Linked DNA regions of Alligator mississippiensis. The protein of the gene in region 1 binds, or shares a complex with, the protein of each later gene. Links are inferred from orthologs where the notes say so. Each region holds a gene or a part of one and is shown on either strand. Other genes may lie near its edges. The genes, in order: ABCC8 and KCNJ11.

Region 1 (17,023 bases):
TACAATGTTATAGAACAGCTTTAAAGAAATCCATCATTTCATACCCCAGCTTAGCAATATGGAAGAATACTTTAGCCTGGTATCAATGCTAGGCTGTTCTGTTTTTAACAAGTATGCAAACAAAATTTCAAATGACCATGAAGCTAAAACAGATGGTACCTGAAGACATATCTTTGCTTTATGGGTAGGACAGAACTATCCTGTCCAAGAGGAAACATGAGGGGCATTTAGCTTGAGGAAAACCCACTGAAGCTGTACTATTCCACATTTTGAGTGCAGCCTGCTCTGTTATACGTAGTTAACTAGTTCTGTTGTCTTGCACCTAGATGGGTGGAACCATAATCCCCCTTCTCTCCTCTCAAAAATGGACAAAGCACCCCCTGTACTAACTGGAAAGAAAGGATCACAATTTTGCCCAGCACTTATCTGAGCTGCAAAGAGAATGGACACACATGAAGAGACAACTATATAGACCAACTTGGAACAGGGGGGTTTTGTGAAGACTGCTTTTCTGACTGGAAAAGACAGTAGGCAATTGATACAATTGTGCTGTTTGATGACCCTCAACTCCAACTGGGCGTAATAAGACTTGTCTGTATATTAATAGAGAAACCCAAACTTTTGGTCAACAGATTTTCCAGCAGGGAAAATCTTAGGGATCACATCTTTTGCATAGGTTTCAACAGTAGTGTTCTTCAGACTGATAGTCTTATCTGCTCTAACATGAACTGAGTCCGTGATACTTATCTGTAAGTAAACAGAAACATTAAGTTGCTGGAATACCAAGTTAAAAGCATATCTCAGAACCGTCTTTGCAACACAATAGCCTCTGCCTATTCCTGGGTGCAAAACCCTTTGACAGTCTACTGCTGTCAAGAGGACGTGTTAATAGTATGACTTGTTTTGCCTTAGGAAGCAGATGAGGGTCTTCACTACAGGAACAAAAGTTTGTTTTTATTCAGAGGACCACATGCTAGTCTGCTGAGTGCTTCAGAGACACAACTCTATAGCTAGGAGCTTTGATTCTTGTTAGGTAGCACTTAGTACCCAACAGCAGTTCTCTGGGTCAACTTAAGCAGTACATGACTGGGAGGACTTTTCTTCAGCTACACAGAGTCAAAAAGCCCCAGGCTGAATCAATTCAATCTTTGTACGTTTGTCTAAACTGCATAGATTGAACCAATAAGCAAGTGAAAAGACAAGAACTTTTGATTCTAGAAATACAGCCAAATGCCTGCAGTGGCCCTTGCCAGAAGCTGGTGGGGGCAGAGGTGGGGGTGCTAGAGTGTGCCTCCCTCCTCTGCTGGAGTAGATAGCTTGGGCCAAAGCTAGCCTGCCCACCCTGTGAGGAGGGAGGGGGTTGAGGGAAGGTGCAAAGCATCCTGGGATGTTGGGGGACTGTGAGTTCACTTGAATCTGGAAGGATCCCAGGACAGAAGTTCAATAAGCTGATTTAACCTAAATCAGTTAAGTCTGATGCTACATCCATTCAGGTTTATCTTAAACTAGTTTCAGCCATTTTGAAAGTGGCTTATGTGCACTGAACTTCTATTGTATTACAGATTTCAACTGGTTTTCTATCACTTATACTGATGTATGTGTAATTTCTGTCCCTAGCCTTCAAGACAAACCATAACTTCGAAGGAGACAGCAATCTGGCCCCCTACCAGTTCCCCAACTCCACAGTGAAAAACTAAAACCACTATTTGACAAACTCTTTCTAAAATGGTCTTTTAGGTATTGAGAGATTTCCTACCTAATATTTAGTTTTCAGAGGACATAATAATAAATGTGGTCATGTGACCTTCTATCCAAGAACCTTGGTGTTTTACAAATGTTAGGAAAGTATTTTTATCCTTATTATACAGATGGGTATAACTGATTCAGAGATACAGTTCTGTTTAATATGGCAAAGGCTATACAATCCATTACATATAATGTGAAATACAATCACACCTCCTTAAAATAATGAAAAACACTATCAGTCATCATTCCACACCTCTAACTTTTGTTAACATACTTTCATGGATCATATGACTTGCTTCAATTACAACAGTTTCTCCCATATTTTATTATTCAAGTTTAAAGATATATACAGCTGATGCGCCAGGTGAAAGTAATGTTAGAATTAAGAAAGAATAATCATGTTAATATAACGGTCTATTTCTAACTTCAAATTTAATCCTCTTTTCTATGAGAGGATAAATTTGATATCAATTGGAGCAGAAGCAGGTTCTGTCTGCTTTCATTCAGTTTTGGGTTGGAGTGTTGCAGCAGCCATGATGATCCAGGAAAGATGGGGGAGACCTGTCTTCTTGCTTCTTGCAGCTACACAATTGGTCCAATAAGAAGTAATCAGTGAAAAACCTTTGCTTCTCGCATTCATTCTATCTAGGCTTTTACATTGATGGGGGTCAGATCCTGTTTTCTATAGTACTGTGAGTAGCTCCATGAAGACAATGGGATGGAGTCTCTCCTCAGGCACACTCATGCTACATAAGGGGCACATACACACAAGACATTTACTGCAGAACTGTCTAATTAGCTCTGAAGTAAAACCTCTCTGCATCTACATGTGCACCCCTATTACAGCACACAAGACTATGGTAATACAAGTACTAGCCTGCCTCGGTGTTTTTTCATGTGCAGCAGTACACATGTAGACATTGCCCAGGTGGTTGGGGCAGAAGGGTACTTCAGGGCAGGGGCTGCCTGCCAGTTAGCCCCACAATGAAGCACCCTCATGCCCCAGCCAGCCCCTCCACAGCACATTGAGCCCAGTCAAAACAAGCATGGGCTGCTGCCAGCCAGGGCTGCTCTAACCAGGCTCAGTGTGCTGCACAGAAATAAACTCCAGAACAATAAGCTCTGAAGTTTATTCATGCACACTAACTGCATGTGTAGACACGCCCACTCTGTTGAAGTCTATTACAGTGTAAAACCTGTGTGAGAAGGGGTCCAAGAGGCCAACTTCTTTTGTTAAGGGAAGTACAATTTGGCTCATGGAGGAACACTGATAATATCATGGGGAGTTTGCTGATAATATCATGGGGAGTAAGGACTGAGATCAGGCCCTTAGATATATATAAAAATATGTCATTAAAATGTCATCATCTGCTTGAATTGTCAGGATTTATCTACAATTTTTCTTTGGAATGATAATGTCATTAAGCTGAACTAAAAATGATTAAGGCCATTTGTGTGTGTGTGTGTGCATACTTGGCAAGGTCTATGGAATTTCTGATACAAGGTCTGTAGGTTAATCACCAAGAATACAGATTACATGCTTATTCCAAGCCAAATGATTTAGACGAAAATTTAGACAGGGAGTTAGTACTTATATTGAAACCCTTTAAAAATAGTTGGTGTTATCAAGAGAAGCTATGCATCCACTTACCCATCTGACACTATGCCCTCTGCTATTTCACACACCAGCACAAACAAAAGGATGAAAGTCAAGATCCAACGTAAATTGTGGCCAGGAAAATGCAGCCATGTGCTATGATGTATATGAACTTTGGAACTCTGACTTCCCCATCCTAAATGTAAAAGCAGAATCATCATGAGGATTTTTAATACACCCACAAACCCCTTTCATAAAACATTCTAAACTGAACATACTGACCACTCTGCTTTTAAAGGTAGTATAAGTGAATTGGAGAATGTTAGAAATATGTATCGTCAAAATGTGACACTAGGAATGACGTTATAATTTCTGTGCACTTCCAAGAATTAGAGTGGTTGTAGAAATCATACGAGAGAACTTAAGCATACAAGTTTTAAAGGAAAAAAAATCTGAGTCACATATTTATGCCCTGCTTTGCTACATATTAATAACTTCACTCATATGGGTAAACCCACTCCAATTAATAAGAGTACTTATGCATGTTTAAGTGATTGCTTAACTGTGCACTTATTGTATAATTACTAACTTACAAAGTATAAGCAATAAGACAGACAGAATATACAACACAAGTCTCCGGTACAGACTTAATAACCTGTTTCCAAATAATTACATACATTAAACCTTTTTAACTAAGCTATTAAAATTCATTATTTTTACTAATACTGTGTGATAAAACCTGTGCAATTTACATTCCTCAATTTAACTTTAAAAAAGTATGTTTCTTAAAGTAATCAAACACTTAAGACTTCTTAACTCAAATAAATATCATCTGTTACTTTGAAACTCCCATTCTTTAAATCATGCCAGGGCTGTCTGGACTAACACAGACGAAGGACTAAGAACACTGCAGAAAGCCATGGGTAGAAGAGAGACTATGCAGCACTTACTTCCCCTAGAGAACTCTTCAAATTACTCTCTGTTTTGAACGTTAATTCTGTTTTTCTAATGCTGGAACTTTCATGATCGAAGGACAAGGGTGTAGAAAAATTACAGGGTTATTGTGTGTTATCCAAAAACTAAACTACCAAACTCCTTTAACCTGAAATTTACACAGAATCAGGACTCCAAGTTTGAGAAGTAAAGTACAAATGTATTCAACTACTGGACCATATAGTGCAGGGGCGGACAATTATTTTGGGCAGAGGGCCGCTTACTGACTTTGGCAAGCCATCGAGGGCCGCATGACAGGCAGCCGGGGGCAGATAAATATTAGTTTATCCGGCCCCCGGGCTGCATTTTGCCCACCCCGATACATGGCATCTCCAGTGCCACGTACACCTCAGGGCCAGGCCAACATTGTTTACTTGCAATAAAAATGCCGGTATGATTTAAACAAAGCATGTTTCTGTTCACTTGTCAGACTTCCTTAACTTTAAGAGTAAATGTGTTTGAGTTTTATTTCCTTTACCTGACAAAGTCAATAAAGCAAACCCCCTCATCCTCTTAGTTTTTATTCAGTTCTCACAATACACATTTTCACATGGACTTCAAGAGCAGCTTTACCTGCCCAAGGACTGCAGAACGTGTCTTTCCCTGTTATTTCATCAAGATTCTTTATCCTATGAAAAGCTAAGCTACTTGGGTAATGGCAACATTTATGTTTTAGCAAGTAGTGTTAATAACCCAACAGCAGGGTGAGAGCAGCTTCGATAGGTTCAAGCATCCATAGCTCTGCATCAGGATCTGAACTTAACATTTTAGCATGGCATGGTTAAGCAGGATGCCTTGGGCTTCTCTGGTGCCTGGGAAGCAGGTTGCTAACTCATGAATGTGTCTTATTACTAATAACCCTTTGAGGGCTGCCTACATACTAAACAAGGATAATAGAATCATAGAAAACAAGGGTTGGAAGGGACCTCAGGAGGTCATCTAGTCCAACCCCTACTCAGAGCAGGACCAACCCCAAATAGATCATCCCAGCCAAGGCTTTGTCTACCCGGGTCTTAAAAACCTCCAAGGGGGCAGGTCTACACAAGAGGAGTAGACTTATTAGCTCTGCAGTAAACATTTTGGCATCTAGACTGTAGGGCTATTAGACTGGTATAAACTAATAAACTCCACAGCAGGTAATACAAGTATTATCCTAGGGCAAAGTTTTTCACTCTGCAGCAGCACACGTGCAGATGCTGACAGGGCTGAATGGGGTGCGCGAGTGTACATGTGGTGCCTGGGAGCAATAAACTGTGGTGTGATAAGCCCGTGAGTTTATTGCTCTGCATCAATATGCACGTGTAGATGTGCCCCAGATGAAGACTCTATAACCTCTCTGGGTAGCCTGTTCCAGTGCTTTACTATCTTCCTAGTGAAAAAATTTGTCCTAATATCTACCCTAGAACATGAACCCAGTCAGCAGGAACACAAGAAGGGGTGAAATCTCACAGCCGGGCCCCCAAAGTCAAAGGCAAGGGAGCTTGATTTCTGCTTGCAATAGAGAAGAGAGGCGGATCCCAGGTGCTCCGGCAGCTTTCCTCTGCGAAGGAAGCCGGGACGGACTCGTCCTCCAGGCCGCTGTCCTGCTAGGTCAGGAGCGCGGGGTGGGGGGGGGCGCCGGGAAACCAGGTCAGGCTTCTGCAGATGCCTCCCCCGCCCCAAGCCAGCTGCGCGCTGCATTCCAGCTGTGCGCGCGGGGATCCAGAGGCAGGGATCCCGCGGGGGGGAGGGGGGCGCCCCACTCACCGATGAAGAGGATGGGGAAGGTGATGAAGAGCAGGAAGACGTGCGGCACCACGTTGAGGGCATCCACGAAGCAGCCGTTGTTGAGCACCCCGTTGTCCACGTTGTAGGCAGCCGAGTTGTTCTCGTTGCCGCAGAAAGCCAAGGCCATGGCGCGAGGGCGTCGGGGACGGGAGGGGGGCGACGGGTCCCCAGCCCTAGCCAGGGCGCATCCCGCGCAGCCCGCCCGGCAGGAGGCGGAGGGGGGCGATGCCGCGGCGGCTCCGGGGAGGCTGCCCAAGCCCCAGCGCCGCTGCTAGGCGGGGAGCGCCGGCAGCCGCGGGCTGCAGCCTAGGGCCACATCTGCTAGCAGCATCGCGCCTTCGTCCTGCCCGGGCCGCCCGCCTTAAAGGAGCCGCCTGCCCCCCCGCCCGCGTAACGGGCAGGGCGACGCCTCCCCACCCCCGCCTCTAGGGCAGGCCTGGGCGGCGTGTGCGTGTGCAAACCCGGGAGCGTGGGTGCGTGTGTAAAAACTTTGCCGGGTGGGGGGACCTGGTGAGTGTGTGTATGCAAAAACCTGGGGAGCGTGGGTCTGTGTGTGTGTGGGGGGGGGGACACACCATGTGTGTGGATGGAACTTGTGTGTGTAAAAATGTTGGGAGTGTGTGTGTGGATGTAAAAACCTGGCGAGTGTGTGTGCAGGCATGTGTTGTGTGTGTACAAACCTGGGGAGCATGTGTGTGTAAAAACCTAGGGGGTGTAAAAACCTGAGGAGCATGTGTGTGGGGATGAAGCATGTGTGTAAAAATGTCAGGAGTGTGTGTGTGTAAAAACCTGGGGAGCATGTATGTGTGGATGGAGCATGTGTGTAAAAATGTCAGGAGTGTGTGTGTGTAAAAACCTGGGGAGTGTGTGTGTGCATGTGTTGTGTGCAGAGACAACCGTGGCAGGGTGTGGGACCCTGGGCAAATCAGCCTGTGTGGCCTGGCGGGGAGACTGGGGGCTAGGTGGCGAGTGGCTGGATGTGAAGCTGGCCCAGCTCCGTGGGGCTCCCGGAAGCATGGGGCCCAGAGCAGTCGCCCCAATTCATTCCCTTGCTAGGGACAGCCCTGGTTGTGTGTGTGTAAACATGGGGAGCATGTGTGTGTGTGTGTGTGTATTTGTGTGGAGCATGTATGTGGATGGAGTGTGTGTATAAAAATGTCAGGAGTGTGTGTGCATAAAAACCTGGTATGTGTGTGCATGTATCATATGTGTATAAAAGCCTGGGGAGCATGTATGTGTGCACATGGAGCATGTGCGTACGGAGCATGTGCATACGGAGCGTATGTGTGTGTCAAAACATGGGGAGCACGTCTTCTGTTGCAAAGAACACAGAAGGGTTGCAGCAGGTCCGAATGGTTTTGATACTGCGGACTCCTGTTTGAAACCTCTGGGTTTTTCCTATGAATTGTGCAAAGGTCTTTGCACCCCTAGCAGTGCTAATATTTGTGAGAGATCCTGCCACACCCTTCTAAGGATCTTACAGCATCACCGGGTGCTAGGGCTCTCTGGTTGAGAATCACTGCATGAGTGAATTGAGGGACATGCCTATCATCCTCTTCCCAGATCTCTCCCATCATCTCCGCAGGCAGCTGTACCAGTACACCTAACTGTCTGTATACAATCAAATGTTCGGATCCTTGGGACCACGCTGACAAGAATCTGGTGAGGTGACTGTGCTGAATTCTACCCAGACAGACGGTGCTTTGAAAGTTTGCTTGGGTTTCCATTTGCTACGAGGTGGATGTCACTATGACATTTGTTTCAAGACAGCCTGACACTGAACCAGGTTCCCAGATGTGGAAAGTGAATGTGTGATTAATTCACCACCATACCTCTACAGTGATGCCGGCTAAACAGTCATTTAGCAGTTTGTAGGGTGTATAGGGTTCAGAATGTGATATCATGGAGTCTCCTCCTGAAACTCATGGGATATTCATTTCTTAATTCACTCTCACTCCCAAAAGATCCCACCACTTTCAGTTGTCAGCACATAGGTAAGGAAATGAAGTGTGAAAGGTCAATTTTGCCAGTTTTTAACACAGTTTAAACAATGGAGGTGTTTTTTTTTTTAATTATTTGTCGTAAAGGCAGACAAGGTTCCTTGGGTAGATGTGATATCTTTTATTAGACCGACTGAGTAGTTGGAACAAAGCTCTTGGCAAGCTTTTGGGCACAGGTACCCTTCTTCAGGCATAGGAAGACTCTGCTGTTCTGAGATCTCCAGGGAATGAAAGAAGCTAAAAGTGTGACAGGAGGTCAGTGAGAGTGTAAATAGGTAGAAATTAGGAAAACGATGGGTAGAGAAGGGAGAGGAGGGGACAGAATGAGGGGGGAAACATGGGTGAAGGAATGCCAAAGGTAAGCAAGGGAGACTCTACTGTAGTAATGAGTTCTCCCAGGTAGAAAGGAGGGAGTCTGAGAAAAAGTAAATAGCTGGAAATTAGGGATAGAGAAGGAGGGGAAGTGAGAAACGGGGGCTGGCAGGGGCGGGGAATGAAAATGATAACTTCAGGCAGGTACCTGGTGAATCAGATGTCAGGCAGGTTGTAATGTGTCATAAATCCAATGTCTATATTGAGTCCATGATTTTTTGTATCCAGTAGATTTATGATGTGAAGTTTCTAGGTTCATCTATGGAAGGTGTTTTGTAAGTTCCTTTTGAGGATTAGAACTGAAAGGTCAGACAGGGAGTGATTGTCTTGTGAGAAATGTGCCCCCACAGGTAATGGGATATTTTTGTCTTTGATAGATTTCTGGTGTGCATTCATTCTGGTGCTCAGTTGTTGTTTCGTCTCTCCTATGTATTTTCCATCAGGACATTTGGTGCACTGGATGAGATATATTACATTTCTGGAGGTGCAGCTGTAAGATCCAGGAATGATGATGGTTCTGTTGTGAGGCGTAGTTATTGTGGGGGTGGTGGAGATACGTTGTCAGGTTTAGCATTTCTTGTCCTGGCATGGTCTGGATCCACTTAGTGTGGCTTGAGTCATAGGGAGTTTGCTTCTGGTGATGAGGTTAGTGAGGTTTGGTGCTTGTTTAAATACTAAGGTGGGTGGTGCTGGAAAGATCTCTTTAAGAAATGGGTCTTTTTTTAGTATGGGTTGCAATTGCTTGAGGATTTTCCATATAGATTCCAGGGAAAGGTGATATCTCATAACTAATGGTGTGCGATTTGTGGGGATTTTCTTTTTGTACTGCAGCAAATCTTCACATGGTATCTGAGTGGCTGTTTCAAAAGAACGATCTCTCTTGAGGAGTGTGTCCTTGTTGGGTGAAGGCCCTTTTGAGATTTGTGATGTGGCAGTTATGGGTTATTTGTCATAAAAGGTTTTATAAAATGAATTTTTAAGAAAGAAAATGTTTTTGTGAAGCCTAAGTTGGAGTGTTCAGAGCTGCTTAGGGGGTTTGGATGCTCACTTCCCATTTAAAATGGGCATCTAAACATCCCCATGGGCTTTGAAAAGTGTTGCCTAATATCCTTCGTTTATTACTAAGGATTCTTCTAGTCTGCTAATCCCTTTCATTCCTGACATGGAGAGATTCTTTCTAAAGACAGGAGATTTCAGAAACAAAAGGGTTTGTTCTTCATTGCCTTAGTACCTAATATAATCATTTACACCTATGTAAAGTGCCCGTAAAATATTGCCAAATCAAAATGAGAGAAATCAGTACCCTTATATTGACTCTAAAAGGGACATGAGAAAGAGACAGAACACTCAAACTGACATCAACCATTTCTGAGTGACCGGTTGACTTGGGCCTAGTTTTTTTAGCATTTTATATGGTATAAGCAAGATAATTTTGTTTCTTAATTTTCTCTAATAAACAAGGACTACGTAAGTAATGCCAGGAGACCTATGGGACTATAATTGACTACCATCTCACCAGGGTTGAGTTTTTCTCTCTATTAGCTGGAGGACATTATTAGATTAAATCTTGTAAACAGCTGCACCCTGCCCTCAGTGCAGATTTCTAACTAAGTGTAATCCTATCCTAAATGGGCGTTATTCAATTTACTTCCTCAGCTACTCTTGCCTGTAATGAATCCAGATGAAAGTTAATTTCTTCACCTAAGGCTTCATTTGAAGCCCACTGAAGTCAACTGGAGTCTTACCATTAACTTCAATGGACTTTGGGGGTTAGCCTTAGGTAAGTATTAAATGCCAACACACTTGACAAAATTCAGTCCAAAACTCAACAGTGGGTGTGCCGACAGATACTTTATTGCACATTAGACTAATCTAATGCACAGTAAAGCATCACTGACTATGCGTGCAGCAGTTACTATGCACTAGGTTAGTCTATTGTGCCATTTTTTAGCACCCGTAGATACAGGTACTAGAAATAGGGGCATTAAACTCATGTGCCAAAATACATGTGTAGACACTGACTGGAAGCAAATTGTTCCTGGTCAGCCTAGGCAGCAGGGGACCACAGGGAGCAGGGAGAGCTGTCCCAGTTAGGTGGGATGCTGCCTCCCAGCCACATGGAGATTGGGACCCGTCCCGATCTCCACGTGGCTGGGAGAGCTGTCCCAGCTCCCAGGCAGGTGCCTCCCAGCCACATGGATATTGGGACCCATCCAGAACTCTGCAGGGCTGGGAGAGCTGTCCCAGCTACTGAGCAGCTGCCTTCCAGCCACATGGAAATCCCCATGCAGATCAGGGCTGCTCCCAGAGCTGGAACAGCTATGGGCTGGCACCCAGGGGAGCCTGGACTCCCCCTGGCTGCTGCAGGGGGGGGCAGAGCAGGGCAGAAGCAGCCCTGGACTGGCCTGTTCCTATTGGGCACAATTTGCTCCTGACGTGGATGCATGTGTAAATATACATCCAGGAATGCTTTAATGAGCCTGAAATTTCTGTGGAGAAAATTTGGCACATTAATTGCAGATGTATATGCACCCAGTTTGGCTTAGTAGAGACACACTAAAATCCTGGGTTAAAGACCCCTCTATCAGAAGTTAGGTACTAGAACTGAACCATGACTTACAGCTGAAGCTGACAGCTTGTCCCTATTTTCCAAACAAAACCTTAGATACAAACATCCCTGAACAACAGCATCACAGAATCACAGAAAGGCTAGCAGGGACATCAGGAGGTCATCTAGTCCAACCCCCTGCTCAAGACAAGATCATCTCTTATTAAACCATCCTAGTCAACTATTTATCTAACCCGATTTTAAAACGATTCAAGGATGGAGATTCCACAACTTCTCTGAGTAGCCTATTCCCCTGCTGCAGTTTGAGACCACTGTGCCCAGTCCTGTCCCCTGTGGCCACAGAGAATAGTCTATCTCAATCCTTTTTATAATCACCCTCCATAGTAGAGAGATGTTCAAAATTCAGATTCTGAACTCGACATTTCATCTTATAGCTTTCTACTAGATCCCAAGCCAGTGTTTATGCAAGCAGTTAATGCAGATTGTTGTTCTTTAAAAGCTGGGGGGAAAAAAAGCAAATACAGCCATATGTACTTTGGCTTAGATTTTGTATGTTAAAGTACAACCATTACAAGGTGCACTTTGTCCCCTAAATCTTTGCCATTAAGCCTTTTTGCAAATGAGACCCATAAATGAAAAATCCTATGTACTTAACAAAGAGAGAGCAGCTGCTTGATCTCTCCGTTGAGGGATCATGCGCTGAATGCTCAGGGTAATAGATAAGAACAGGACGGATCTGAGTTCTGGGATGGACAATGCCATTAATAGACATGAAAGCTTCTGTACTCGCATTTTGTTCTTTTTTATTGATCATCTTCCAAGATGGGAGGAACGAGAAAGCATCTCTCTCTTTGTGAATGCCTAGCACTCTTTCTTTTTCATGGTTCTTTTGGACCCCTTTTTGGACAAAGTTCTCTTGAACAAAAACTTCTTTATGGTCAGTGAGTGGAAGACTCTGTTGGTTATATTTAGAAGGATAAAAGCCAAGCCAAATTGAGCATTTTTATTTATTTTCCAATCCTAAAAGTCTGTCTGTCTATACATATACAAAACATTTAAAAATGCAATAATTAATTAAGTTCTGGATCCAACCCAGGATTCAGTTCTGAGTTTCTGGTTTTCCCTTATCTTTGCTTAAAATATATCCTGGTGGTGTGCAAACAACAAGTTACACTTATAATTATTATTTTTTTGGATGCCCCTAGTGACAGTGGAGGTCTTACTGTAAACCAGTGGGGGCCAACCTCTTTGGCAGGCATGCCACAAATTAGCCCTGCACATCCCTGAGTGCCTCTCTAGTTCCTTTCCCCTACTTGATCTGCTGGTCTGCTTTCTGCTTCCTGCCCTGTGCTGATGATCTGCTTTCTGCTCCCTGCCCTATCTGCCATTGTGCTGCCTGTTCCCTCCCCAGTTTGCCATATGCCACACATAGAGACTCCCTGTGTCATTTGTGGCATTCATGCCGCAAGTTGGCCAGCCTTGTTGTAAACCGTGTTGTATGTATGGACAGACAAAGAAAGAGAGATGGAAGAGACAAAATGCAGGGAAAGAAAGTGGAATAATCTTCAGTTTACAATGGAGAACTAAAGCACATATAGGCTGCATACAGATGTTGAAAAAAAACCCAAAACACTTTAGTGGAAGAAGCAGCACATTAGTTAAACCTGGCTCGGCAACATCTGTATAGTTCAGGCACTTCAGCAGGTTTTTTTGGTGCTTTTATCTAAAAGCTGATTCAATCAGCTACTAGATAAAAACACCAAAAAGCTCCTCTAAAACACTTGATCTATACAAGCGTTGGGTGAGCCAGGTCCAACTAATGCAGTGCTTCTTCTGTTCATGCACTGGGCTCGACGGGGGAGTGCAATGAGTTTCAGGTAAAACACCTTTTTTTTTTAAAATGTCTATAAGCAGCCCTAGTGATAGAGTGATCTATAGGGAGATTGGAAACTAAACTATGACTTGAATCTGTTTTTAGTCTCTGAAGCACAAGACTATTGTCAGAATCTAGAGATGAAAATCCTTTCAATTAAGATGATTTTGTGAAATGTCTATGCCTCAAAATCTAAATGCATGGGGGAAATGGATGTCTCAGGGAACTGGGAATTAAATGTGGACACTCTAATTGGTTTTGAATCATTAGTTTATTCACATACCTTTTTGAAGTTAACAGTCTCAATTCAGGTCCTATTGGGCGCACCTACATGTGCATTAATGCACTTTTCCTAATGTGCATCAAATTTAGTACCTCCACTGTGAGGTACTAAATTGATACACATTAGGTTGCTCTAATGCACAGTAGCACCCACACATACTTTTTAGGTGACACAATGTTCAGTAGCCTATTTTATTGTGCATAGGGTAAAACCCATTGTTTTACATGCTGCTTTAATGCGCAGTAAAATAGGCTACTGCTCATTAAAGTGCATGTGTAGACACACCCAGTAAGTAGGAGTCCATACCTCACAGAACTACAAGCTTAATTAGCAATATGTTTTAGACTCCGAGGCCATGTCTACATGAGTGGCAGACTGTGCAGTTGTTACTGGTGTTACTGCACAGTTCTGTCACCACACATTTTTTTTCTGATGCTACTACACAGTAGCAATGAGCTACTGTGCAGTATTGTTGCCACACAGTTAGTGCCTGGCAACACTACTGAACGGTGGCAACAAGCTACTGTGCGGTAGCTCATTGCTACTGCGCAGTAGTGTCTCATGTAGACAAACCCAGAAGGACCCAGGATTAAACAGTCAGAGACCATGACCTACAAACCCAATAAGGAATATTGGCAGAAAACCTGGGAGAAGCTGTTGTTACTGCTACCCAGGATGTACCTGCTTCTCGGATATATAGAAGATTTCTGTCTGGTATTGTCAGGCTGATAACTTTTACAAGCATTGCAGCTACATCTTTCTTCTACCATCATTGTTACTAGGCACATCTACAGGTGCTATTAATTCTATAAAGTCTTACTGCATAGTAAGCCTTTCCTGGGAGCATGTCTACACATGCTCCCTGTGGGCACATCTACATGTTCACTAATACGCCTTTGCTACAGTGCATTGTTTAGAACCTCTAATATGAGGAACTAGATAAAGGTGCAGTAACCAATGTGCAGTAGCAAAGGCAAACTTTTTTTGTGATTTACAGGTAGTAGCTAACTGTGCAGTAGACTAATTTACTGTGCAATAAATGGTGTGTACGTGTAGATGGTGATGCTTTACTGTGAGATTAGTCACACCCATATAGACACACCCAGTGGATACTTAACCAGGATTAAATTAAGGGAAGCGATTAGTGAAGACATGTGGACTGAAGAGCTCAGAGACTTGAATATGGAAAGGACTATTTTCTTTAATTGGAAGGCACAAAGAATTTGCACTCCAAGAGAAGAAAAAAATTGTACAGAATGGGCTCAGACCTACTAAGATGAATAACTTCATCAAAAAGGATATAAGCTCTAAACAGGGAGCCTACAAGGGATAGCAAAAGATGCACAAAGAAAGTTGCAGTTAGAGGGCAGAAAAGGTAGGAATAAAATGAGAATCACCAAAAGTCAAATTAAGTTTGCAAAGGAAATTAAAACTAATAATAAATGATTCTTCAGCCTTGTAAATAAAAATGAATGACTGGAGAATTCCTAAATGTTGTTCTTATATCTAAGGTTACAGATCAAAACAATTGAAACCAGTTGGCTTACCAATGATTTATGGATAAACTGTTGCAATATAGATGAAATGTTGGACCATGCAGATAACACCAAGAGTGCTTCTCTGCATGTTTTTCGAGGAAGAACATTAAAAAAGAACATTTAAACAAAGAGTGAATACATTTACAAACTTCTTAAAGCTTTCATTTTTTTAGCAACATGACTATAATTTTGTCCAAGTGTATCATCACTGAATCCAACGGACAACAGACAGAAGTTTGTACTAAGGGCTTGGACGGACAACACAGCAATTACACCTGACTAAAAAAAAGTAGTAAACAGACAATCAAACCCCTATAATGGGTTAGCTTTTTCCAATCTATTGCAAAATTACCCCTGAAGGAATCAACAGTAAAACTCTGATTTTTCAATTTATACTGGTTTAGGCATTGTCTGTCCACTTTTACCTGGGGGCAGCCATTTGCTGAAGGTGAAATAGACTATAACTTGTTCTCTTGTTGCCAGTTGTGAGGTGCAGTACTAACCATTTATTATGTAAGCTACCCTGGAAATAGCTATATGGCTGTCCCTGCCTGATTCTGGGGTAGGGTATACATTCCTCTGTCCTTACTCTTAAGTGTTTTTCTTGCATAAGGTATTCTTCTTTTCACTTACAAATAGTTACAGGTTCTTATGTCTTTTACATTTACCAGGTATCATTAATGGATGTTACATCAGTGTATTAGGAAAAGACAGACAACTGTGGACCAAATTTTGAATTTTTTACCCACAATAGTGATCAATTATAGCAAGCCACTGAACAGGGTCCAGTTCTCATGGGTTACATCAACTGAACTTTGGAGTGTTCTCCTGCTCATGCAGTAGCTATTGCTTAATTTTTCTCCAAAATTTACAGAGCATCATTCTCCCTATTTAATGTGATTATACCTCCAGTGTTCAGGAAATTGTACATGTGAGCACTGTCCTTTGCACTGCTATTGTAGCAAGCCTAATGCTGGACTTAGGCAGCAATCAACACATCTGATAACCTAAAATAATTTTTGCTTGCTAAGAAGTGCTGTGGATGCTGTTCCGCTGTTTAAACAGGAATTCCAAACAGGTAACATGACATTTTAATATGCGAAAAATAATTTCTGTACCTAACTTGGGAGTCAGGTAGGAAGTAAGATGTAAACAGCTAATGGGGTTAACAGCACAAGAACGACATTTCAGCCTTTAAAGCCTGATAGCTGGGTTTGTTTCCAACACATCAGAAAGTATGATCATTTAAATGAAAGAGCTCATAGTTCTTGCCTTTGTCATTCTCTGTCATCCTTCATTTGTCACTCTAACTCAGATACAGGAGTGTACACCATCACTTGTACGCTGTCACTTCTCTGCTTTTTCTCAGCACTGCTAAAAAGCAGAAGGTGTCTCTGTATAAAATCAAACATCAAAAGACAGAGGTACATTTATATAAATCATTGTTCAGGCTTCACCTTTTATCTGGTGTAAAGATGCATAATTAGGAACAAGAGTCTGAATCTGAATTTTTCAAAAGTGCAGAGCAGCCACACAGCTCACATTTACACAAAATTAGGTGGCTTCTATAGGCATCTAGATTTAGGCATCCAAGATGGAAAACTTTGGATGTGAGTTTTAAGAACACACTCTTCCTAGGACCAGATCTGAAGAAGAAGTTATAATCAATAGGATCGGCCATTGCTAAAAATCCATTTCTCTGTACTGGGTTAGAGCAGGTTTGATAAATAGGACATAGGAGGTTTGATGTATGATATTGTGTCTGAAATAGCAGAGGACTGGGCTGTGACCCAAAATGTCCCTTCCAGTTTTATGCCCTATATTCCTTATGTGAGAGATTTTCATGAAGCAGAGATGCATCATACCCATGGTTAAATTACAACAATCCTGGAGCAAAACAGGAAAGCCAAGGTTGCAACTGAACTCCGACTAGCTTCGAATATCAAGGACAATAAAAAGTCTTTTTTCAGATATGTGGGGAGCTGGAGGAAAAGCAAGGGCAACATTGGACCCCTGCTAAACCAGGTGGGACAACTGACAACTGACGCCCAGAAAAAAGCCAGCCTATTAAATGGGTACTTTGTGTTGGTCTTCCATCAGTCCCATGGGACGCCCGTGCCCACTATGGGACAGGGAGGTACGGGCGAGAGAGATTCCCTGACCTCCATCAATGCTGAAATCATGAAGGAACACCTCGAGAGGCTGGATACCTTCAAGTCAGCCGGCCCTGACAATCTACACCCCAGGGTATTCAAGGAGCTGGCGAGCATCATAGCTCAGCCTCT
Region 2 (16,848 bases), about 170 kb from region 1:
GAAAAGCCAAGGATATATTTTGTTGCATTACAAATTCCTCTATTTTGCAGCATCAGCTTTTTACTATTTGTACACTATTTGTGAATTGAGAGGCTTTACAACCAATGGAAGAGTGTAGTGTTAAGAACAGCGAAAATGAGGAGATAAATTATTACATGACTAAAATTACTCAGTTCTGTCAACGATAACCGCACATGGAGAGGGGGGAAATGAGTACCGGAAAATATCCTCCTCCATGAAACTCACTGGCAAGTGTAAAAAAACAAAACAAAACAAAACTATACAACTATAGCCATCATTTGTGTTTTACGGCAAAAGAAGTCATGGTTCAGGAGGGACCCCACTGTTGCATGAAACAGCAGAATATACACTCCCAAAGATAAGTTACTTTGCTTGGGATCGGGGCTTCACTGAGCTAGAAGGATGCTGCACTTCAGCAGAGATGGTCAGAAGCTGCAACAGCTACTGCAAAGGAATCCTATTATTCTCTGAAGGCATTGGGCTGGATTGTGAAGCTGTTGCTGGCCTCTGTGCCTGCTAGCTGCACAGTCAGGATTTCTTCCATTACTGCTACAAGCTGAAAACGCTTCTGCTATGATAAATATGAGCATTTAGAAAATTATCAGTGGCTCTGAATCACTTTAGGACATTTAACAAGAGAAGTCAGGACTACTTGGTTAAAATCCTGGCTCCGCTGATGTCAGGAAATATGACTAATTACTTAGATTCTATTTCTACCCTTCCTCTGCTAATCACTTGCTGTGCAACTTGGGGCAAATCACTTCAGCTCTCTTCATGAGTTGTCCACCCATCTGTGATACTGTATTCATAATACATGGTCTCCTCAGGGGAGTTGCAAGATTTAATCAGTATCTGTATAGCACTTAGTGGTTCTTGGTTGATCTAAGTGCAAAGTAAACAGGAATATTTCACTGTTACCTGGATATTTATTATGCCGTTATAATAAAACCCTGCTTCCCATAAGAAATGATTCAGCAAGAGAAACAATGGGGAAAGTATATACAAGTGTAGTGAAGGAAAAAGGCCTATTATCACGCCATAATCCACTTGCTAAACTGTAAAGTGAGAGGTTCTTCCCATGACCTTTATTTGTTCTACAACCCTAACCCAAAATAAGTTGGCTTGTACAGAATGGCCGCTCTTGCCCCACTCCCCGATTGAGTACCCATTTCTGGCTCCATAGAAACAGTATTCCTCTTTGCTTCGTTTAAACGCTCATCAGAAGCTATTTGTTTCCTGCAGTTGGACAGTTGTGTGCCCAGTCACCAAACAGCTGAGATGGGGGAAGATGAGATAAATTGGTGAGTGACATGCACAAAACAAGGAGAGAAGGGTAGCGAAACACTCTCCAGTACTGAGGGATCTGAAAATGCAGGCCCTTCCTGGATAATTCAGCTCATGCTACATGATTTCCTATGTAAGGTTCCACTGCTGACTCTCACTCCCAAACCATAAAACTAGTTCACTAGTGGGATGCCTCCCTCCTGACACTATTTTTTCTTAGAACAATGTTACAAAAGCTATTTGTTCCCTTTTCAAGTAAATGTAATCACTGCCCTCTGGAGGGCAAAATACAGAATTAAAGAAGCTTTTTTTCATTTTGGTTTTTAACAGTGGGCCTCACTATATTATTTCCCCCTGTGCAAAATATAAAATGATACCAAGCAAATAGTGTTCTGTGCTTTATATCCATTTTGCAAAAATGTAAGCAACTGCATAAGAGGTAGTGAGGTAGGGAACCATGTCCCAGTGCATGAGCCTTCAAATGAGTTAGCCCAATTAGTAGCCCTGTGCAAAGCGGCTAGTATTTGCTTCAGATTTGGATTCAGCTGATTCAGGGAACAGCGATTCGATTCGGTGATTCAAATCGATTCGGCCGAATCTGATTCAGAGATTTGGCTGCTGCCGAATCAGCCGAATCTCCAAATCACATAGGCCCCATCCCCTGCCCACTCTCAATTGCTGCCCCACCAGCGGCTCTTTGGGAAAAAAAAGCCCACACTTACAGGCTGCTGCCAGGCGGGGGGCGATCCCCACTGCCCCATACTGCATGGGGGGCTCTTCCACGAGCCTCCAGAAGCCCTGAGGCCGCTGCAGCAGTGGTGAGTTCAGGGGGGGGTTTGTTGTTTTTTTTAAAGGGCCAGGAGCTGGGGTGAGCAGGGCAGCCATGGGGGTGCTGGGAGAGTGGAGGGGGGTTTGGGAGGGCTGGGGGAGCAAGCAGGGGATGGGGCCTGGGAGGGGTCCCCCCATGGTCCCCTCCCTTTCCCCACCCCCTACTTACCAGCATGGAGTCTGGGTCCAGCTCCCTGCTGCAGCCGGTGAGGACTGCCCAAATTGCCAAAGCTCTCTGAATCTTTTCCGAATCCATTCAGAGAGCTTTGTCTTGATTTGGACCTATTGAATTGATTCAGTCCCCTGATTCAATTCAGAGATTCGGCCACCAAATCGGGTCGAATCTCCTTCAAATCAAATCAGCACTGAAGCTTCGCACAGCCCTACCAAGTAGCTGATTAAAAAAAAAAAAAAAAAGTTTAGAAAAGGACACAAAACAATCCTTTTTTAAATGTGAAATATACCCTAACATCTATGAACCTATGAATGTATGTAGGTGATGTATGTAGGTGATGTAGCTATGTGTAGATGTAGGTGTGTAGGGGATGTACGTATGGAGTAGGTGTAGGTGTGTGTAGGTGATGTACGTATGGAGTAGGTGTAGGTGTGTGTAGGTGATATACATATGGAGTCTTCACAAATCAGGTTTCCATCTGCCATATAAATATGGCAATCCAATAAGCACCCAAAATATCCACAAGAGAAATAAAGTAAATGGGAAGGGGGAAAAACCCCAACACACACACTTCTGGCTCAGATTAAAACCCATGGTATCAGATTAAGAGGTATTTTGAACAGAACAGTTGAAGACGTTTCCCTGGGCATTTCTAAAACAATAAATGGTGAATATCAGAGAGGGCATTGAACAGGGATATATCACTCCAGAGATACCTGGTTCAGTGCCCTCCCTATAGTATACAGCATCCACTTCTGCCACTTAGAGACAGGATTCTGGGCTAAATGGACTATTGGTCTGACATAGTTTGGCACTGGCACATCTTATGTTCACTTTTTTATATCAGAGTTAAGAACGACAGCCCAGAATATGAGAAAGAGATATAGAAAATACAGGAAACCTCCCAATGAGTCAATATATCCAAAAACATATCTGGAATCTGTATATCCCTAACAAATTTGCTTATATATTAACTGTTTACATCTATAAAGTACCTACATATATAAAGAAAGAAGCAAGACAGAATTTAACTGTGGGATCTAGAATTATTTTGCTAGAGTGGTCAAAGTACACAATCAGAAATATTTGTTCTAATAGATGTGGAAGCTGCCTACTTAATTTCAACTTCCAACACTGGCAAGCTCTCACCCGCTAATCAGGACCTGGGGAAACAACTATTCACCGAGGCCCCCCAGGGGAGGACAAGAAATAATGGGCACAAACTAATTGAAGATCGCTTCAGGCTAGACATAAGGAAAAACTTCTTTATAAGTCAAGTGCAGAGGGTTTGGAACAGGTTCCCACCAGAGATGGTACAGTCACAACCCTCGCAATCTTCAAAAAACATCTTGATGCCTATCTTGCTGGGGTTATCTGATCCCAGCAGTCTTTCCTGCCCAAGTGCAGGGGGGCTGAACCTGATGATCTGTAAGGTCCCATCCAGCACCCAACATCTATGAAACTATTAAACTTCCTCATGGCAGTAAGACATTGTCTAGTAAATCAGTGCCAATAACCACTTAGATATTATGACAAAGTAATTAAAGCTCCAAAGCTGAGGAGTGATTTGAGAGAGATACATGATCCCTGCAAACCTCCAGCCTCTTATTTTTTCAGGGAGAAAAAAACTGCTTTAGTGTGGATGAGAGGCATAACTAGCAATTTTGGCACCGTGGGCAGAGATGCCAGAGAGTGGTAGATGGGGTCTACCTGCTCTGGATGCTGCTGATGCTCTGCCAGGTCTCCAAGGGCCGTCTATCTAAAGAAATTTAAACTGGCATCTTGGGCTGGCATACCACTTGCTCTGCCATAGTTATGACAACTCTTTAAATTTAATTCAGAAGATAAATTTTCGGTGCAGGACAGGCTGGTAAACCCTAGTTCAATTACTTCACTGATTTGTATGAGTCTAAACCCATACAAAACAATATAAACTGAAAGTATCTAATCAAAGTTTTCAGTTTAAATGAACGGGCAACATCCCTTTAAATGAAATATAGCTGACTCCACATGCTGAACACTCTGGAAAAATAATTCCCAAGTCTGGTCTTAAATAAAGCAGGTTGCGTTGGTTTGGGATATGTAAATACATATAGAGAATCCACACAGCAGCTCTGGTTTCCCTCTTCTTTGCATCGCCTTTGGCAGTTCTCACAGACCTCTGGAAGCTCAGATCATGCTAGGTTAAGTATATGCACTTGAGTCACTCCTTAGTTTCCTTCCTACTGCATCAAACCTAACAATTACTTGCATTCATGTGCCTTGCCTCAGTATGCTGGCTCCTTGCTTTAAATAAAAACCACCATCTTATTGGGTTTTATGAATCTACTGTGTATGTGGGTCTTTATAGTTAGAGAAGTAGGGCTGGAAGGGACCTCCAAAGGTCATCTAGTCAAACCCTCTGCCTGAAGCAGGATCATCCCTATCCAAACCATCCCGTATAACCATAATCTAAACTCTACATAAGACTAACCTCAACCCGGACACAACATAGACCTAACACCCTAACCTGCCACGGGTGAAGCAGGGGAACAAGAGGTCCTGGGTAGAGGGCCACACACCCCACTACAGAGGAAGGCAAAACCCCCCACAAGCCCATCCCAATCTGACCATGGGGTAGTATTTCTTCCTGACCCCAAATATGGTGAGCAGTCTGACCTTGAGCAAAGGGGCAAGACCCTCTAGCCAGGAACCTCTGGGCTTTGCTCCTAGCAGGAGAATCAGCACACCTCAACTGAAGTCTCCAGCCTTAACTAGCCAGCACCCAATGCCTCTGTGGAAGCTAAAAAAACCCCTAATGCATAACAGAAAAAAGGGAGCGGGGCAGGAGCAACCAGCAAAGCCCAGAAGCATAGGAAATATCTATGGCAGAAAAGAGGCATAGCTACAACTTGATAATCCCTGATCAGTGGCTGTCCAACCTCTTCTTGAACACGTCCAGTCATGGGGAGTCCACAGCTTCCCTAGGCACTCTATTCCACTGCCTCACTATTTTCACAGGAAATACATTTTTCCAGATATCCAATCTAAATGTACTTTGCTGCAACTTTAAGCTAGAGATAATGTTCAGAGATAAATACTTCTAAAAATGTAATTAATGGGGTTTCAATATTCTGTCCCAAGCTTAAAATTAAGCATGTATTAATGCTTTGCTGATTGCAGCCTTCCCAAGGAAAGTTTCTATCCTTTAGTATCTGGTTGAACTATTTGATACTTAAATGTATCATTTCCTGCTACTTGAGCTCTGTGGAGCTTCCCTGAATTCTTTTATAAAAGGTTTCTTTGGAAAAAAAACAAAAAACACCACAGTATCTATCTTGCATGCTTTTTCATAAATGCAAAGAACAAGACAAAGAAAATAATCTTAATATAAAATAAATAGCAGAAGTACATCTATTGCCTAAATGCTTTCCATGCCACTAACAAAACAAGATAAATCAATGAAATGTAATGTAATTATACATGGAACTAAGATCCCAGCACCCCTTGGATATCTAAGTGATAACCAAACATCTCTGACGTGGATCGGGAGCCAGAAATGATGGCTTTCTGTAGCCTAATCCACATTCAACTAAAAAAAAAATTTAAGTAATACATTTAAAAGATCAATATTGTTTTATTTGCATTGCAAGCAGGGCCATATGTGACAAATGCATGTATTTGGAACAGAATGAATCACAATATCTCAAAATTGCCTAAAACAGCATAAATGAATTAGCCAAGTGACCTTTGCCTAGATCCATGTTACTTCCCCTGGATATGAACTTACTTACAAAAAGGAAAAAACTGGACCAGAAAGACAGACCTGGGAAGACTCACCAACTCTTGCTTGTAAAAAAATTATTTATTTACAAAAAGGTAAGGATTTCTGTGGGTTATATCTTTTACTGGACCAGCTACATGGCCCAGATAGACTTAGGCATGCTCTTGAATGCAGTTCATTCTTAATATTCGTATATTAACATATATTAATTCAATATAGTAATTCATATATATTAATTAAAGAATGAACTGCATTCAAAAGCATGTCTAAGTCTATCTGGACCATATATATTTGCTCCCCAATATGTGTGTGATCTCCCATCACCAGATACTGTGAAAGCAAGTGCAGAGAGCAGAGCATAAGAAGAAAACAAAGGGCATGAGAAGCATACGAATATAAGAAAAAAAAGACATGTAAGGAAAACAGTCTAAGGGGGGCGAAGGGGGAAGTCTGAGCCCAACAGAAGGAGGCTTTCCCAGTGCAGCGGCACACACAGTACCAGCCCCTCCTTTCTGGGTGCTTCCACTGCAGCATCTTTATGGCTGTCTCGCAGAAACCTGTCACGCACGCACGTGCACACACACACACACACACACATATACGTACATACAATAGATAAATATAGCTATCGTCTAGTCTGTATGTATGCACTCAGACTGCATTCAAAAACATGTCTAAGTCTATCCCAGCTGCACTGCACTATTATATATGTGTCTGTGTGTATGCACTTATACATATAAGTGTGTATACATAGATACACATATATAAACATATGTGTGTACGTATCTATCTCTATATCTATCTGTCTACATATCTTTCTATCTATATAGGTCTAGATAGATCAATAGGGATAATACACACACACTTTGGGAGGGAAATGATATATATCATTTGATATATGATAGATATATATAAATTTGCCCCTCCCCAAAGTGCATGTGTATACCTATTATAGATATCTATCTATCTATCTATCTATCTATCTATCTATCTATCTAGGTCTATGTAACGATAGATAGATAGATAGATAGATAGATAGATAGATAGATAGATAGATGTGCCGTCCTTGCATCTATCTATCTGTCTGTCCATTGCATCCATCTATCTGTCTGTCCATGATGGACAGATAGATAGATAGATAGATATGCCGTCATTGCATCTATCTAGCTATCTATAGTTATATAGATATATATAGATAGGTATAATACAAACACACTTTGGGGGGGTGCAAATGATATATATCATTTGATATATGATAGGTATATATAAATTTGCCCCCCCCCCCATGCATGTGTCTATTTATCTAGCTAGGTCTAGATAGATAGATAGATAGATAGATAGATAGATAGATAGATACGATGGCATATCTATCTATATATCTCTATATAGATATGTAGAGATATATATATAGATATAGAGATAAAGAGATAGATATAATACAAACACACTTGGGGGGAATGATATATATCATTTGACATATGATAGGTATATCTAAATTCCCCCTCTACCCAGTGCATCTATCCATCTATCTATCTATCTATCTGTCCGTCTGTTTAGATAGATAGATAGATAGATAGATAGATAGATAGATAGATAGATAGATAGATAGATAGATAGATAGATGCAATGATGACATATCTAGCTATCTCTATACAGGTATCTAGATCTATATATAGAAACAGACAGATCCAGTACACACACGCGTGGGGGGGCGAATGCTACATGTCAGTCGCTGTGTGCTGGGTATGTGTACAGGCGCCCCGGCGTGCACGTGCCCCCACCGCAGACGGGGACCCGGCAGGGCGGGCGCAGGTGGCGGGATGTCGCGGCCCCCCCGCGCAGCCGGAGGCGGGTGTCCGCAGCCTGGCGCTGGCCGGGGGCGGGGGCGGGGCAGGGCGGGGCGGGCGGCGGTGCCCGGGGGAGGCAGAGGCGTGCGGGGGGACCGCGCCGCGCCGCGCCGCGCGGGGCCGGGCCGGGCCGGGCTGGGCCGCGGCAGCGGGGCATCGCCTGCAGCCCGGTGACTGGCGCCGGTAGGCGGTAGCCGGCGGCCGGAGCCGGGCGCGGCGGAGCCATGCTGTCCAGGAAGGGGATCATCCCCGAGGAGTACGTGCTGACCCGCCTGGCCGAGGATGTGCCGGATCACGCCCGCTACCGCGCCCGGGAGCGGCGGGCCCGCTTCGTGGGCAAGAACGGTGCCTGCAACGTGGCCCACAAGAACATCCGCGAGCAGGGCCGCTTCCTGCAGGACGTCTTCACCACGCTGGTGGACCTCAAGTGGCCGCACACGCTGCTCATCTTCACCATGTCCTTCCTGTGCACCTGGCTGCTCTTCGGCATGGGCTGGTGGCTCATCGCCTTCGCCCACGGTGACCTGGACCACAGCACCCAGGTGGAGCGGGGCGGGGACCCCGGGGGCTTCGTGCCCTGTGTGACCAGCATCCAGTCCTTCACCTCCGCCTTCCTCTTCTCCATCGAGGTGCAGGTGACCATCGGGTTCGGCGGGCGCATGGTGACCGAGGAGTGCCCGGCCGCTATCCTGGTGCTGATCGTGCAGAACATCGTGGGCCTGGTCATCAACGCCATCATGCTGGGCTGCATCTTCATGAAGACGGCGCAGGCCCACCGCCGGGCCGAGACCCTCATCTTCAGCAAGCACGCCGTGATCGCCCTGCGGGAGGGCAAGCTCTGCTTCATGCTGCGGGTGGGCGACCTGCGCAAGAGCATGATCATCAGCGCCACCATCCGCATGCAGGTGGTGAAGAAGACCACCAGCTTGGAGGGCGAGGTGGTGCCCCTCCACCAGATCGACATCCAGATGGAGAACCCGGTGGGGGGCAACAGCATCTTCCTGGTGGCGCCACTCATCGTCTGCCATGTCATCGACCAGAACAGCCCCCTCTACGACATCTCCCCTCTCCACCTCAACCACCAGGAGGACCTGGAAGTCATCGTCATCTTGGAAGGGGTGGTGGAGACCACGGGCATCACCACCCAAGCCCGCACCTCTTACCTGGCCGACGAGATCCTCTGGGGCCAGAGGTTCGTGCCCGTTGTGGCCGAGGAAGATGGGCGATACTCTGTGGACTACTCCAAGTTTGGCAACACGGTGAAAGTGCCCACCCCTTCTTGCACGGCCCGGGAGCTGGAGGAAAACAGAAGCATCATAGACACCATGTTACAGTCGCCTAAAGGCACCATTAGGAAGCGAACTGTCAGGTTAAAGCCCAAATTTACCATCTCTGATGAGCCTTCCTGACACACGTGGTAGAGGAAACTCTGGTGGGGCTGTGTCCAAAACATGCAATAAGCACCAACTCTTGAGACTGCCTCTATTTTTTCTTATTCCGGTTGGTAGCACAAGGTATGTGTTGTGTTATTTATTGCAGGACAATTGTATTCTGTTATTATTTGTAAAGGTGTGAGAGATTTAAAGCAGCCTTGGAGGGGTGAAAATGTTAATCTGCTGTTTTAATTTAAAAATCCTGACTCTTGCATTTATTTGCATGATCATTTTTGGACTGAGTCATCCACATGGGAATCAGACCTTCCCTTGAAAAGTAACTTCATATGTGCCCTGGGAGGTTGCAATATTTAGGGCTTTGCAATGTCTGTCATCCAGACAGTAGTTTTTAACTGCTTTTCTGAATAGAAACATTATCATGATGCAGAAAAAGCCTTTAACAGTTATTATTATTAATCTCAAATCAGAACTTAAATAATAATAATAAAAAAGGTCAGGCAGTAATTTTTATGAGAAAGATAAGTCTGGATATGAAGGTGCCTGTATAAGTCATGGTACTTTGTCTTGCAGAAATAAACTTACAGATTTAATTTAGACCATATTGTACTGTCTGGATCCATTGACTGCAAGTGCAGTAGGAGAGTCATTTGTATACGTATTTTTGTATCTTTTCAAACTCTTCTACAGTGCCTCAAAAGAGGATATGTTATCTCTATTTCTGATAGCGAGTGATGCACCTATGGTTTCTAAAAGGGTTTGTCTTTACAAAGCAGAACAGATATTAATTGATGTTATGTAACTGAAATTAATTATGGAAAAGAAAAATACCTTCATCGATTGCAAACAAACAAAAAGCCCAGCCACAACATGCTAGGGCACCTGTGAGAATTCATCCCCCAATGATTTCAATCAGATAACAAGGGAGTATAAATTTTATCAAAGACCTTACCTAGAAAGTGTTTTGCAATGAAAAAAGCAGTCAGGACTCATGGTAGATATGATATGTTTTATTAGACCAACAAGATGTTTGCAGAGAACTGTCTTTACTTGCAGGCTTTCAGGCACAAACACCCTTCATCAGGCAGTTTTCAATTAAATAAATTTTTTTGCAAACATCTTGTTGGTCTAATAAAAGATATCTCTACCACGAGTACCGATTGCTTTTTTCTCTAGACCAATATGGCTACAACCGGGATACTTTTTACGGTGAAATAGCAGATGCAAATTATATCAAATGGTATTTGCCTGCAATTAGCAAGACCCCTTAATTTTATTTTAATTTAGTTTTAGTTTTAAGAATGATTCAAGAGCATTTTGTTCTGAGGCAAGGGCGGGATGTATAGGATAATGCAGCCTACTTCCGGGATGTCAGATCACAGCACATACCATTGTTGTGAAGACTGCACCCTTTTCATTTAGGGCCTGATCATGAATTAATTTTTGCACAACTTCGAATTCCACCTGCTCCCTTTGATTTTGATTGTGCTCCGAATGCAAGATCAGGCATACAATGAAAAAAAACACACCATTAATTCACTAAGTTTTCTTTTTTAGCAGTCCCTGTTAACCTGATCCAGCAAATCTTCCACCTGGAGAGTTCCCATTAAGAACAATGGCAGTTTTCTGTGTGGAGGGCTTGTACGATAGGGGCCTGATAACATCCTTATAACATATTCTTGATAAGCACTGCAGACTGCCATTGAAATCAAAGAAGATGTTGTCTGAATAAGGCATCAATAGAGATGGCAGACTGGTCTTGGTGACACAAAAGATGAGATGGTACTGTATCACAGGCCTCTGTGTGAGGTTGCATTGTTCTCTTTAACGAATCTCTGTATGGGAATTCCTTGCATCTTACAAAATTATCGCAATATTCTTTTGAAAACAGTTTGTCTTGTGGCCAGTTTTTACACAACTTTTCAGTATAACAAAGCACAAATGCATGCAATAGTAAAGAAGAAAAAAAAGGAAAAGAGTTGCATACTTACTAAATAAGAATTTGTGATAAAATGAAATAATTTCGATAATAAAAATCTCAGTACATTAGAAACATTATTTTTATCATTAATAGCTATAAATCTCACAGGTTAAGTAAGGCTTGCACTTATGCTATCCAGACAGCCAGCTAAACGAATACTTAGAAACATGTTAATATGTGTCCAAGTTTCCAAAGTCGTAACCTAATGGGCGCATCTACACATGTGCTTTAATGCGTGGTAGACTATTTTACTGCATATTACAGATTAAAGCGTCGTATAAAAAACCATGACATTATGTTAATGTGCAGTAAAATAGTCTACTGTGCATTAAGCATCACTAAAAAAGCATGCAAATGCACTACTGCACATTAGCGCAGCCTAATGCTCATTAATTTAGTAGCTTACATTGGAGGTACAAAATATAATGTGCATTAGAAAAGGCGCATTAATGTATGTGTAGACACGCCCACTATTAATATTATTTTGAAGTGCACTTAAAGTGTGGTAGGCGTTTCACAGTGAGAAGACATAACAGGCTTGAAAAATTGGAGTTCAACAGCATTAATATGTAATTTGCAAGGGAAAATTGAAAATTAAAATGTAAAGCTTGGTAAAGGGAAAAAAAGCTCTATTAGGAAATGGTAAAATTTGTTCTAATTATTAAAGTCTTTTTGTGAAATTCAGTTTAACTGCACCATCATTTTCCCTCCCTCTCTATTACTGCATCTCTGTCAGTCTTCACTTGGAGATTATTTACGGTAGATCTGTTTCTCATGGGTATGCGTGAAAAGCATATGTATATAATAACCCTTTGAAGTTTCTACATCCGCCTTACCAACTGTCACTGTTCTGCTGTCATATCACTAAAAGATGCATAGATGAAATATCACACAGGGAAGTTTCAAATGACCTGAAGAGTCCCTGTATTATTTTCTGTCTATATAGTGCCTTATTTCGGTACATAAATACTTACAAATGTTTATTGACAGAAAATGCTTGGAGACTGTTGTTCTTCTAACATTTTTTTTAAGTTTTGACCTATATGAGAAGCAATTTCAGGAAGACTACTAGCCAAATAAACCTTCTATTCAGAAACAGATTCAAACCTCTTGTTTCCTCAAGGAAGTTGGTACCACAGAAATAACCTGCATTTTCTTTGTACTCTGAAAGACAGAAAGGTGGGGAGCTGAACTGCCTTAAGGACTTTCTTTTATGTCATCACTGCAGAAAGCACCTGAATAACCAGCAATGTGAGGGTAAGAGACAGCAAAGAAAAGGATCCCCAGGAATATAAAAAGAGAAGAATCTCACAATAAAGGTTTCCGTGGGCAATTAATTTAATCAAAACCTTTGCAAGTCTGTTAATGGGAATTCTTTTTTGTTTCTTTTTCATTTAAATTATTTTGTGCTTTAATGGTTTGAAACATATCACTGTATATTGGGGCATCATAAAGCAACAAAAGCAGAAAGTTTCAAAGTGACTGGGGACAGAAAACATTTGCAAAGACTGTTTTATTTTCTTGCCATCAAGTTGTTTACAAAATATTTGATAATACCCTAAATCCAGAATTGTCTGTGAATTTACACTTAACACTAAACAAGCAACTTTTCCTTAACAAGCTTTCCAGATAGCAGGTTAGTGCTATTATTCTTTATTTATTAAAAATCCTTTATTTCACCATGAGGCAAGATGATTTTTCTTCTATGGCAGTAGTCCAGCATGAGTGATGCATTTGAATTTTTTCTCCTAGGGTCCCTTTCAAATAAGCTATTCATGGGGGTAGCCCCAGGTGATAATCTGAAGGGACACATTTTTTACAGCATTAGGAGAAGACTATGTTCTTAGTGCACTAAACTTGCCAATATTAGTAAGCTATGCCATCTGAATGATGAAAGGAAGTTACATGTTTTGCAAACATTTATATACATGAGCAACTCCTGCACACACAAGTAATCCTGTTTAACTCGTGATCTGACCCGCAAACAGTATTTATGTAAAAAATCCCAATACCATGACTTGGCTGTTTACTTATTAGAGCAATGAAGGGATAGGAAAGATTCCAGTTAACAGATGGGCAATAAGAAAAAATTAAGCGAATCTGGTTAATAATAAACATGATTTGAAGGACAGCCAAGTCCTCTGTCATCGTTTTGAAATATTTTTAGCCACTGTCAATTAGAATAATGGTCCCAACTAGGCCATCAGTTTGAACATTAAACTGATCAATTAAATTAAAGGACATTGTGCTTAAATAAGAGATAGTGATATAGGGACCAATTTGGTCCTTTTACCCCTGCTACAAAGCACAAATGGACAATTCATACAATATATTATTAGAAAATACAGTAAATGTCAATATGAGACATTACCTGTAAAAATATATTAAAAACGGGTAAACACAGGAGGCTACACATTGGGAGTGGGGGAAAGGAGCAGCCGTAACCTATTACATTTTAAAATGCTTCTTATAGAGAAAAAGAAGGCATGGGTTAAGACAGATGCAAAGGGGGAGTGAACTCTGTGTGTTGGGAGCCCCTACAGCAAAGGCTTCACCAAGGTGAGATGACTGAATACCTAAAAGATGGATGGGATGGTTAAGAAATAAATAAAGCTGGGACTCATGAACAGTAATCAGCTGTATAAAATCAGCAAGACCAATTCAGAATCTGTCTGCCCTTTATAGAAGCCAACCCAGAGAATGCTGGCTGGGTGTAATACGATCAGAGTTACTCAATCCATCCAGTACGCATACTGCTGTGTGCTGCATGCAACACAAGTGACAGAGAGGTGTTCCTGGGAGGCCTGTTAGAAAGGAGTTAGAGGAACTGAGTCTTATGATTGGCTGTTTATTAATAGTCAATAATATATTGCTAATTAACAATTAAAAATCTGACAGTTCAAGTTATTTTCTTTTGCTTTTCCCTCCTCTTCGTCCCCGTCTCGCGCTCCCCTTTCCCCCCTATTTACCAACTGACACATGTGCGCACAGCCCTCAATGAATTATTATACAACGGCTGGCAAAGCAGGCTTGATTTGTAAAAAAAGCAGAGAGTGTGTTTACAAAAAAAAAGCAACTTAAGTTGCACAGAGTTCAGAAATGTGATCACAGTTGTCAGATGTTCTACCTTTCAGCTGTCACATATAATAAAAGTGGTCTGATAATATCAGTGGGACAAGAATAAGGGCGCTGACTGCCTTGTACTGTCCCTTTTGCAATCCATGGTGGGAAAAAGCATGGTGCAGCTGTTGGGCATACTTGAAGTGGGATAGGAATTCTGATTCTGTTCCCATTTCTGTTGCTAACTTGCTTGGTTCCAGTCTCCATGGATATATGTACATGGCACGGTGCCGTGCAGTGCAATACTGGAGATACCAAAGCAAGTTCCCAAACCAGAGGCAGCATAGCCCCAGCACTGTGGCATTCCTTCTGTCCTAATTAGACAAGGCTCTAAGGGTTCTGGGATCTGACCCAATATCTTTGCATTGCACTGCAGTTTGCTATGTCAATACACTGGCTTGTTCAGCATTAGCACTTTTACTTCTTTTACCTCTTACAGCACGTTTACTCCTTTGATGTGTTTCATTCCTATGTAGGCACCGTCTCTTAGGGCATTTATACATGTGCTCGGGGGGGGGGGGGGGGGGCGCTTTAATTAGAGAGCCACTCCAATGAAAGCACCCAGTGTCACATGCATCAGGATCCCTACACTGAAAATGGCGACAGGGGCACTTTAACTAAAGCTTTAGATATAGTGCTCCCACCACCATTTTTCAGCGCAGGGAGGCTGATACTGGAGTCTGCTAGAGCACAGTAATTATCACGCTCCAACAGGCTCACTTAATTGAGTCTGCTCCAACACTGTAATTACACTGCAGCAGAGAAGCTTCACTGCACACGTATAGGCGCCCCGTGTCACTGTTTCCCATCTGTAACACAGAGGTAACAGCACAGAGGTGTTAGGAAGATAACCACAGGACTGAAGCATTCATATACTATGAAAATGGAGGCATAGGGTCAGGACGTTTCTGAAGAAGGGCATGCCTGGGTACCATTTGTGAGTGCTGTTTTGAAAATCTGTCAGAGTTTGAATACCTTGTAGAGGAATCAGTTGCACTAGCAGATGTCTGACTCCATCAAAACTGGATCTTTAGCAATGAAAACTGAACTGATACCAGGCCCCAAGCGACCGCTGTTCAGCTGAAGGGCCATCATTCCCCTATGGTGCTCCCTCATGCAAGGGATCTTCCCTTGGCAGCCAACACAATGGGGTTGGGAGCAACCAAACTAAGATCTTGTTTTATTGCCAACTAGGTAGAAGTTTCTTCCTTTTTTCATGTCCTTATGATCAGGTATTTAGCAGATTTGTTGGACTCTGACAGGCCACGCTGTGAGCACTTTTGCTGTGACCTCAAATTTGCAACTTCTGGGCTGCTAACCATGCGCCTTAACACCCACACCACCCCCACCTGTTAGGTAGAAGTTGGAAGTGAGTGATGACAGCCACAGGAGCTTCATGGGGATTCATAGGGAAATAACAGGCACTTCATGAGAATAACCCACAGAAAAATTAAAAGGATGGCATTTCTCTCCCTGCTACCTCTAAAGTTATATTTATACTTACTCCAAATTGCAAAACTAGGTGTTCTGTGCATTTTGGACTCACATTCTGACCTGTATTCAATCATATCCAATTGCTCCCTTTGGAAAGGAAAACATGTCATGCCCATAATATATAAAAGCACAACAGGCCTGATCTAAATCCCATTGGAGTTGGTAGAAAGACTTCTATCGACTTCAGTGGGCTCCAGATTGGCCCAAGATTGCCCCAGTTCTCTAACCTCAGTCAGATATAGATTTATTTTGAAGGCAGTGGTGAAAGGGTTTTTAATCTAAAGGGCTCGGTTCTCCAGTACATAACTCAAGTGAAGCTCCCACTAAGATCAATGGGAACTTTGTTTGAGGAGTAAAGACTGAGAAGGCATTTCAGTACTGGGTCCAGTGACAGTATGAGAAGCACATTCAAGATGTTTGTTGGATGTTTCATTGACTGTCTGTAGCAAATGACGCTTTGTACTATTTTTGATGTCACTGCTGGAGAAAGATACGTGATACAAACCTACACACTCTTGACCAAGCAGTACTATTAAAAGCACAGAAGACATTCTCAAGAGTATTTAAATATCACTGTCCACCTCATGCTGTTAACAATATTGAATGCTAATAATGAATTTCATTATGAATACTGCTCTGTTTCACACTGATATGTTGATACCACCCACAGGACAACACTAAATCTTGTGGAAGTCATTGCATGTTGTTCTGCAATGTCCAACTTTACCTAGAGGAATGTCTCAAGGGACAAGCATTTCCAGTCTTTCTTTGTCTCCTGTTTATGTCTGACACCTATTAATACTAGGTTTGATGCAGGGAGCTGGGGGGTGGAGTTTCAGCTGTCTCTGTGGCACTGATCACATTTCCCACACACATTTTTTCAAAATCCTAGATTCATCTATGGGAGCTGATCTGAGCTCTGCTTGGGTTGTGGGGGAAAAGAG

Evidence for each region.
Region 2: the proteins of ABCC8 (region 1) and KCNJ11 are in contact, whole or in part, in a cryo-EM structure (PDB 7S60), measured with the Homo sapiens proteins. The link is inferred for Alligator mississippiensis from reciprocal best matches to the Homo sapiens genes ABCC8 and KCNJ11. Residues at the interface, in NP_000343.2 of Homo sapiens: Phe5, Ser12, Ala13, Tyr15, Arg16, Val17, Val21, Asn24, Cys26, Phe27, Ala30, Val33, Val34, Val37, Phe41, Phe44, Ile46, Phe48, Ile49, Gly50, Trp51, Gly52, Ser53, Ser55, Lys57, Val58, His59, Ile60, His61, His62; in NP_000516.3 of Homo sapiens: Val44, Ala45, His46, Lys47, Asn48, Ile49, Arg50, Gln52, Gly53, Leu56, Val59, Thr62, Leu63, Lys67, His70, Leu73, Ile74, Met77, Cys81, Leu84, Leu85, Met88, Trp91, Leu92, Phe95, Ala96, His97, Gly98, Leu100, Ala101.

What each region holds. Positions count from the first base shown.
Region 1 is NC_081825.1:192,518,551-192,535,573, reverse strand, and holds the start of ABCC8 (ATP-binding cassette sub-family C member 8), read right to left. Parts: upstream 6,443-17,023; 5' UTR 6,231-6,442; coding exon 6,083-6,230; intron 3,540-6,082; coding exon 3,398-3,539; intron 1-3,397. UniProt on the Homo sapiens protein: Regulator subunit of pancreatic ATP-sensitive potassium channel (KATP), playing a major role in the regulation of insulin release.
Region 2 is NC_081825.1:192,686,075-192,702,922, forward strand, and holds KCNJ11 (ATP-sensitive inward rectifier potassium channel 11), read left to right. Parts: upstream 1-8,057; 5' UTR 8,058-8,142; coding exon 8,143-9,327; 3' UTR 9,328-12,969; downstream 12,970-16,848. UniProt on the Homo sapiens protein: Inward rectifier potassium channel that forms the pore of ATP-sensitive potassium channels (KATP), regulating potassium permeability as a function of cytoplasmic ATP and ADP concentrations in many different cells.